2 linked regions of the Oryctolagus cuniculus genome follow. The protein of the gene in region 1 purifies or fractionates together with the protein of each later gene. This does not show direct contact. Links are inferred from orthologs where the notes say so. Each region holds a gene or a part of one and is shown in the gene's direction. Other genes may lie near its edges.

Region 1 (3,425 bases):
AAAGCCAGGAGCCAGGTGCTTCCTCCTGGTCTCCCACGTGGGTGCAGGGCCCAAGCACTTGGGCCATCCTCCACTGCACTCCCGGGCCACAGCAGAGAGCTGGCCTGGAAGAGGAGCAACCGGGACAGAATCTGGTGCCCCGACCAAGACTAGAACCCGGTGTGCCGGTGCCGCAAGGCGGAGGATTAGCCTAGTGAGCCGCGGCGCCGGCCTGTATTTTTTTTTTAATACACCGTATCAACTAAGTGTACCTGAGGATGCAGAGACAATGGAACCCTTGGGGCCGTCGCTATGGCGTATTGGGTAAAGCCGCAGCCTGCAGTGCCAGCATCCCTTATGGGCACGGGTTCGAGTCCCAGCTGCTCCACTTCTAATCCAGCTCTCTGCTATGGCCTGGGAAAGCAGTAGAAGATGACCCAAGTGCTTGGGCCCCTGTATGTGGGAGAGCCAGAAGAAGCTCCTGGCTCCTGGCTTTGGTTTGGCCCAGCTCCATCCATTGCAGCCATATAGAGAGTGAACCAGCAGATGCTTCACCCACCCCCACCTTTGTAACAGCCTTTCAAATAAGTAAATAAATCTTTTTTTTTAAGTGGGACCCTCAAACATTGCTTGAGGATATGTAAAATATTGCAGCTGGTTGTAGGAAACAGCTGTCTTTTTTTAAAGTGTTAGGAACCAGCTATTCTAGCATGTACAAGGACTCCTAGGGACGAGTATATCCTCAAGAAAAAGAAAATACGGTGTGCTCGTTCCTACGCAGAGATTCTCGAGTTTATACTGCACCGCAACGCCACCCAAAGAGACCAGCACGGCGTTGGCAAATTCAGCCGCTTACTCTACAGACCGCCGTTTAGTCTACATGGTGCTTGCCACACTGCCCCCAAGTGCTCACTGTCGCAAAAGACCCGTCCCTATACTTTTCGTTTCCCTTCTGCCGTCAACCGCGGTGCAGCTTCCCTCCCAGAAGGCCTCAAGAGCGCGACGAAAGAGAGTGACAGAGCGCTTTACGACAGTTGCTTTGTGGCAGCACCGGAGGAGGAAGATGGCGGCCACCTTAGTAGCCGCTCGGGGAGCGGGTCCGGCACCGGCTTGGGGGCAAGATGCCCTAGCCCCGGACTGGGAAAACCGGGAAGTCTCCACAGGGGTGAGGCAGGGGTCGGGGTTCAGGAGAGCTGAGGAAGGCGGAGGGGAGGCGGACTGTTGTGCTTGCGGGCAGCGGGAGGATGTATCCGGAGGGTGCTAGAGCGGTGTGGTGCGTTCGTGGTGGGGTTCTGGCATCTCGCGGGCCGAATGAAGCTCTAGGGGTCAAGGCCGGGATGGGTCTTTGGAGTTGGAGGGTTAGAATTCTGGTAGTCCTCGGGGGGTTGAGGCGCCCGTGAGATTTGGAAATGGGTCGATGGCGCCCGAGGGTCGTATTCCGGGAGCTGGCCTGAGCCGACCATTGAAGCTTGTGTATGGTGGAAAACGTGGGAAGACCCCGACTCACTCCTTCTTCCCTTTCCCCAGACCACAATTATGGCCGTGCAGTTCGACGGGGGCGTGGTCCTGGGGGCCGACTCGAGAACAACCACGGGGTGAGCGCGGGACAGATTGGTGAAGGGGCCCTCCTCCCCCGCGCCTGCCCCGATGCCAGCCCACCCTTAGCCTCGACAGACTTCTGTGGGCAGGGACTTCTCCTCTCCCTGCAGATAAGCAATCCCCCCACCCTTGGTGAGATCTTTATAGAAATCTGTTCTCCAACTGATTTAGGTTTGGATGAGAACTGATAGGCAATACTGGGTTTCCTGTCCTTGAGCCCTGAGTAACGGGTTGGGGTGGGAGGAAGGCAGGTGGGGTCTTTGCCCTCACTGTCTGTCTTCCCGCAGGTCCTACATCGCCAATCGAGTGACTGACAAGCTGACTCCCATCCATGACCACATTTTCTGCTGCCGCTCGGGCTCAGCAGCCGATACCCAGGCAGTCGCTGATGCTGTCACCTATCAGCTTGGTTTCCACAGGTGCTTATGGGCAGGGGAGGAGCTGGGATCTGGAAGGAGTTGGAGCCAAAGACTCTAAATGGACTGATTCCTAGGTTCTGACCCTGCTTTCTCTGTGACCCTCCCCCCCCCCCCCCCCCCCGCCAGCATTGAACTGAATGAGCCCCCCCTGGTGCACACAGCAGCCAGCCTCTTCAAGGAGATGTGTTACCGGTACCGGGAAGACCTGATGGCAGGGATCATCATCGCCGGCTGGGACCCTCAAGAAGGCGGGCAGGTCAGAGCCCCGGCTTGTCCCCCTCTGGCCATTCCCCATCTGTCTCCAGCTCCTACCTCACTTCTGCGGTTAACTCTGCCCCGCCCAGGCCCACGTGGACGGGTAAGTGGACGTGTGCTGGGGGGGGAGCATACAGCCGGTGACTGTCTTCGTCCATCTGGCAGGTGTACTCAGTCCCCATGGGGGGCATGATGGTGAGGCAGTCCTTTGCCATCGGAGGCTCTGGGAGTTCGTACATCTACGGCTACGTGGACGCCACCTACCGGGAAGGCATGACCAAGGAAGAGTGTCTGCAGTTCACCGCCAATGGTGAGTGCTTGGCCTGCAGGGCCTGTGAGCTGCAGCCCCTCCCCAAGCCAGGCCAGCGCCCCTCATTCCTCGTCGTGGCCCCAGGATCTCACTCTGAACTCAGCCTTCTCTTTTATCCTCAGCTCTCGCTTTGGCCATGGAGCGGGACGGCTCCAGTGGTGGGGTGATCCGTCTGGCAGCCATCGCTGAATCAGGGGTGGAGCGCCAAGTGCTTCTGGGAGACCAGATACCCAAATTCACCATTGCCACTTTACCACCCCCCTGAACCCTGGAATTCTAGGATGTAGTAAGAGACGCCATACAGACAGGAAGTTTAATAAACACTTTGTCAAAGAGAGTCTTTGTGCTTTGCTTTGGGATTCTTTTGTTGACCTCAAGCCTAAACTTGTCTGACTCACTGCTGTTTGTATAAACTCCTGCACTGAGCTGCAGGGGAGTTGGAGAGGAGATGGGGGGTGTTCATGAATGTTCTTCAAACCTACTTCTCCACACTTAACCTTCTACCATACCCAGGTCCCTGACCACCAGGTTGTGGTGCCTGCCACACCCTCTCCCTGTTTTAAGCTTTAGGTGGAATTCAGAATTCTGAGGCTGGAGTCACCTTCCCGCCGCCTGCCGCCTGCCAGCCAGCATGGGTGACCACTGACGGTAAAGCCAGAGGGATTTGCTTCTACCCCGGCCTCCCCTTAGTCGACTGAGCCTCTGTCACCTCATTTTGTGGTCAGGAGCAGCCGGGTGGCTTCCTTGGCTTGGGGGAGAGAAGTGGGTCTTGTCTGTAGACGGAACTCCAGGTGGACGTTGGAGGGGGTGACAGTCACTGGCAGCACCTCCGGCCAGCTCTAGAAGCCACCATCCCTTGGGCC
Region 2 (3,741 bases), on another chromosome or scaffold:
AGCTAACACCACATAGAGGAGGCAGGGTTACAAACCGAGGCAGTCTGGGTGCTCTAGGTCTAAACCAGGAATGGGCAAAACACTGCCCTCCTGTGGCCAGTTTTTGTATGGCCTGTGAGCTAAGAACGGTTTTTCCATTTTTATGCTGAAAACATCAAAGAATAATACAATATGGTATGAGGGTAGTTCAAAGGGTTCATAGGAAAATGGAATTAAAATATATTTACTTTGGTGCAACTTTTTTTAATCTACACAGACAGGGGTTATCAAAAACGTCACGGGGAATCAGCACACTGTGAAAAACTTTAATGGATTTCAAAGGTTTCTGCACCAAAAGAAACATTTTTTTATTCCATCTTCCCACAAACCTTTTGAAGCACCATCATATTTCATGACACACGAAAATTACATGGACTCAAGTTTCTGTGTCCATAAATAAGCTTCACGGGAACCAGCCGCACTAATTCATGGACATATGACTGCTTTCTTGTTGCCATGGCACAGTTGAGTAGTTGTTACCAACACTGTAAGGCCCACAGAGCCTAAAATATATATTATCTAACCCTTGGCAGAAAAAGCTTGTGGAATCCTGAAACAAAACACTGAGCTAATATCAGAGAGAGAAATGCTGTGAAGGTACTCAAGCAGGCTGATTTGGCCACCTGGAGGTGGCACAGCCGGTTAGGCTGCGGTCTGTGATGCTGGCATCCCACAGGGATGCTGGTTTGAGTCCCGGTTGCTCCACTTCTGATCCCGCTCCCTGCTAATGCACCTGGGAAAGCAGTAGAAGATGGCCCAAGTGCTTGGGCCCCTGCACCCACGTAGGAGACTCGGAAGAAGCTCCTGGCTCCTGGCTTCCTCTTGGCCCACCCCCAGCCGTTGTGGGCATTTGGGGACAGAAGATTCTCTCTCTCATTTTTTTGTTACTCTGCCTTTCTAATATAATAAATACATTTTTTTTTTAAATCTTAATTCTGAGGAGGTGACATTTGAACTGAGAGCTGAATGACCAGAGCCGTGGGAAGGGCCCTTCAGGAGGAATGGCCAGGGGGCAGGAAGGCAGGTGACTGGAGAGGAGCAGGTGGGAGGTCTACAGGAAGCTGCGGCGGTCAGAGGCGAACGCGCAGCAGCAGCCAAGCCTAGCGGACTGCAGCTCGGGTGAAGGGTAGCAGCAGCGTCCGGGTGTCGGGCCACAGGATGCCGGCGAGAGCAGGTGCCCACGCTGGCTGGGAAGGCTAGCAAGGAGCGGCCAGCCAGGTCTCGTCCCACGGAGTAAGGCGCATCCCTGTGCCAGGCGCAGCAGCGGAAGAGAGGCCAATGGAGGAGTTGGGGGTGGGGGGGAGAGGCGGGGACAAGGGGGGCGGGAGGGGCAAGGTGGGGCGTGGACAGGCGGGCACAGGGAGCTGTAGGGGGAGCCCCGCGGGGCTGCCCGCCTCTGCGGCCGTCTCCCCGGTCTGGTCTGTCCCCGCCTCCTCCAGTCCCTCCACTCCCTACTACCCAGGAAGGCCGTGCCGGTGGCGAGCGCCGCTTTCGCTTTCTCTTCCCGGTGCCCACTCCTCCTCGCTCCTCGTGCGGCAGCAGGTCCCCCCCGGCCCTGCCATGGCCACGCTCAGGGTCCAGCCTGAAGCCCAAGCCAAGGTGAGCGCCTCGGGGTCGAGGAAGGGCCGATTAGAGGGAGACGTGGTTCCTAGAGGCGAGGGAGCCCCCGACCCGCCCCCTCCCCCAGCCCCCACTTGAGTAGGGGTCGGTCATGCCTGCCGCCTCGGTGCTCCCAGCACCTGAGCCCCGGGGAGACCGGTGAGGTCTGCCTTCGGGGAGAGGCGAGGCGGCCTTGGTCCAGCGAGGTGAAGTGAAGCAGAGAGCCGGAGAGGGGAAGCCTGCCGGCGGGGGCCCCACACAGACTGGTGCAGGACCTGCCCCTGGCTCCTCAGTGCCTGCGCGGGGCTTGGGGGGGGGCGGCACAGACTGGTGCGGGACCTGCCCCTGGCTCCTCAGTGCGTGCGCGGAGCGGGGGGCACAGGCTGGTGCGGGACCTGCCCCTGGCTTCTCAGTGCCTGCTGGGTCCCACTGGCTGAGGCTGCCCTACTCCCCTCCTCACATGCACAGCATAGCCCAGGAGACCCTGGAGACCCTTCCCACCAGGAGTGCTCTCAATCCCCAGATGCAACCCCAGGGGGCCCGGGACTGCAGAGGTCCACCCCTTTAGTCCCAGTCCACGGGCACAGGGGTCCATCTGGCCTCAGAGAGCACACCCCACCCTTCCCCAGGTCAGACCTGCCACAACCCTAGAGGAACTCCCTTCCAATAAACCGGCCTTAAAGCCAGGTTTCTGAACGGTTGCCTGTGCCCCACAGGTGGATGCGTTTCGTGAAGACCTGCGTGCCAAGGTAAGATCCGTCCCGCCACACCCCAGCTCCGACCCAACCGGGACCACTCGGAGTCTCACCCCCACCCTCCGCCACCCCCACCTCACACACAGACCGAGAGCCTGCTTGGGAACTATTTCCCCAAGAAGATTTCTGAGTTGGATGCGTTTTTAAAGGTACTGGGGCTGGCCAGGGAGCTGGAGAGTTAAGGGGCCCAGAGGACGGGAGTCAGGGCGAGGCCCTGAGAGTGAGGAGGCGAGAGAGACACACACACCTTGCCTCTAGCTCTCCTCCTACCCTCTGCCAGGAGCCGGCTCTCAATGAAGTCAACCTGAGCAACCTGAAGGCCCCCCTGGACATCCCCATGCCTGACCCGGCCAAGGAGAAAGAGAAGGAGGAGCGAAAGAAACAGCAGGGGGCAAGCTGGGAACCCCCCCCGGGGGGGGGGGGAGGGGCCCAACCAGGCAGGGAAAACCTGCCTTCCTGCGGTCTGACTCCCAGGGACCCCTCTCTCCCTGCAGAAGGAAGACAAAGACGAAAAAAAGAAAGAGGATGATGAAGATAAAGGTATTTGAACAAAAAAGAAATCTCTGGTGGGCAGGGACTTGGCCACCACCCTGCAGGGGCTCTCCTGTCAGGCACAGGCTCAGTGCAGTGAGTAACCCACCGCCCACTCACCAGGTCCTCCCTGTGGCCCAGTGAACTGCAATGAGAAGATTGTAGGCCTTCTGCAGCGCCTAAAGCCCGAGATAAAGGACGTCATCGAGAAGCTGAATCTGGTGAGCCCTGCTCCTTCCGCCCCTGGCTTCAGGTCGACCCCTTTGTCCTCTTGGTTCTGCCAGTTAGGTTATGCCGCTTGCCTGGTCTTAGCAGGAAAGGGAGGGCACAGCCGGTGAAGTCAGCAGCCTAGGCCCATGAGGCTTAGGATAGACCTGGCCTACCTCCACCCAGCATGGGCAGCAAGCAAGGCCAAGGAGGCCAGGTGGGGGTGGGGGGCCGGATGTGGCTTTGATGCGCTTCCCTTCCCCCAGGTCACCACCTGGTTGCAGCTGCAGATTCCCCGGATTGAGGACGGCAACAATTTCGGAGTGGCTGTCCAGGTGAGAGCACTGCCCTGCTGCCCTGCCCTCATCTCTAGTCCCGGCTTCCTTCCACTTTGGCCCTCACTTGCCGTCCCCAGGAGAAGGTGTTTGAGCTGATGACCAGCCTTCACACCAAGCTGGAAGGCTTCCACACGCAGATATCCAAGTGAGTGGCCGCCCGCCCACACCCAAACCCTCTGCTTTGGGACATGGGCCTATGAGTGCCCTCCGTCTTGTCCCACTCCACGCACACTTCTAATTCCCACAGGTATTTCTTGGAACGCGGAGATGCG

Evidence for each region.
Region 2: the proteins of PSMB6 (region 1) and PSME1 purify together in Homo sapiens (affinity purification with western blotting; 3 studies listed by BioGRID and IntAct, with this or other methods). This does not show direct contact. The link is inferred for Oryctolagus cuniculus from reciprocal best matches to the Homo sapiens genes PSMB6 and PSME1.

The regions. Positions count from the first base shown.
Region 1 is NC_091448.1:51,426,664-51,430,088, reverse strand, and holds PSMB6 (proteasome subunit beta type-6), read left to right. Parts: upstream 1-927; 5' UTR 928-1,042; coding exon 1,043-1,144; intron 1,145-1,506; coding exon 1,507-1,574; intron 1,575-1,865; coding exon 1,866-1,997; intron 1,998-2,123; coding exon 2,124-2,253; intron 2,254-2,417; coding exon 2,418-2,562; intron 2,563-2,684; coding exon 2,685-2,827; 3' UTR 2,828-2,899; downstream 2,900-3,425. UniProt on the Homo sapiens protein: Component of the 20S core proteasome complex involved in the proteolytic degradation of most intracellular proteins. This complex plays numerous essential roles within the cell by associating with different regulatory particles.
Region 2 is NC_091443.1:51,061,295-51,065,035, reverse strand, and holds the start of PSME1 (proteasome activator complex subunit 1), read left to right. Parts: upstream 1-1,149; 5' UTR 1,150-1,197; coding exon 1,198-1,213; exon of another isoform or gene 1,214-1,272; intron 1,273-1,377; exon of another isoform or gene 1,378-1,501; coding exon 1,502-1,638; intron 1,639-2,354; coding exon 2,355-2,387; intron 2,388-2,479; coding exon 2,480-2,542; intron 2,543-2,673; coding exon 2,674-2,784; intron 2,785-2,887; coding exon 2,888-2,933; intron 2,934-3,047; coding exon 3,048-3,145; intron 3,146-3,397; coding exon 3,398-3,466; intron 3,467-3,546; coding exon 3,547-3,614; intron 3,615-3,716; coding exon 3,717-3,741. UniProt on the Homo sapiens protein: Implicated in immunoproteasome assembly and required for efficient antigen processing. The PA28 activator complex enhances the generation of class I binding peptides by altering the cleavage pattern of the proteasome.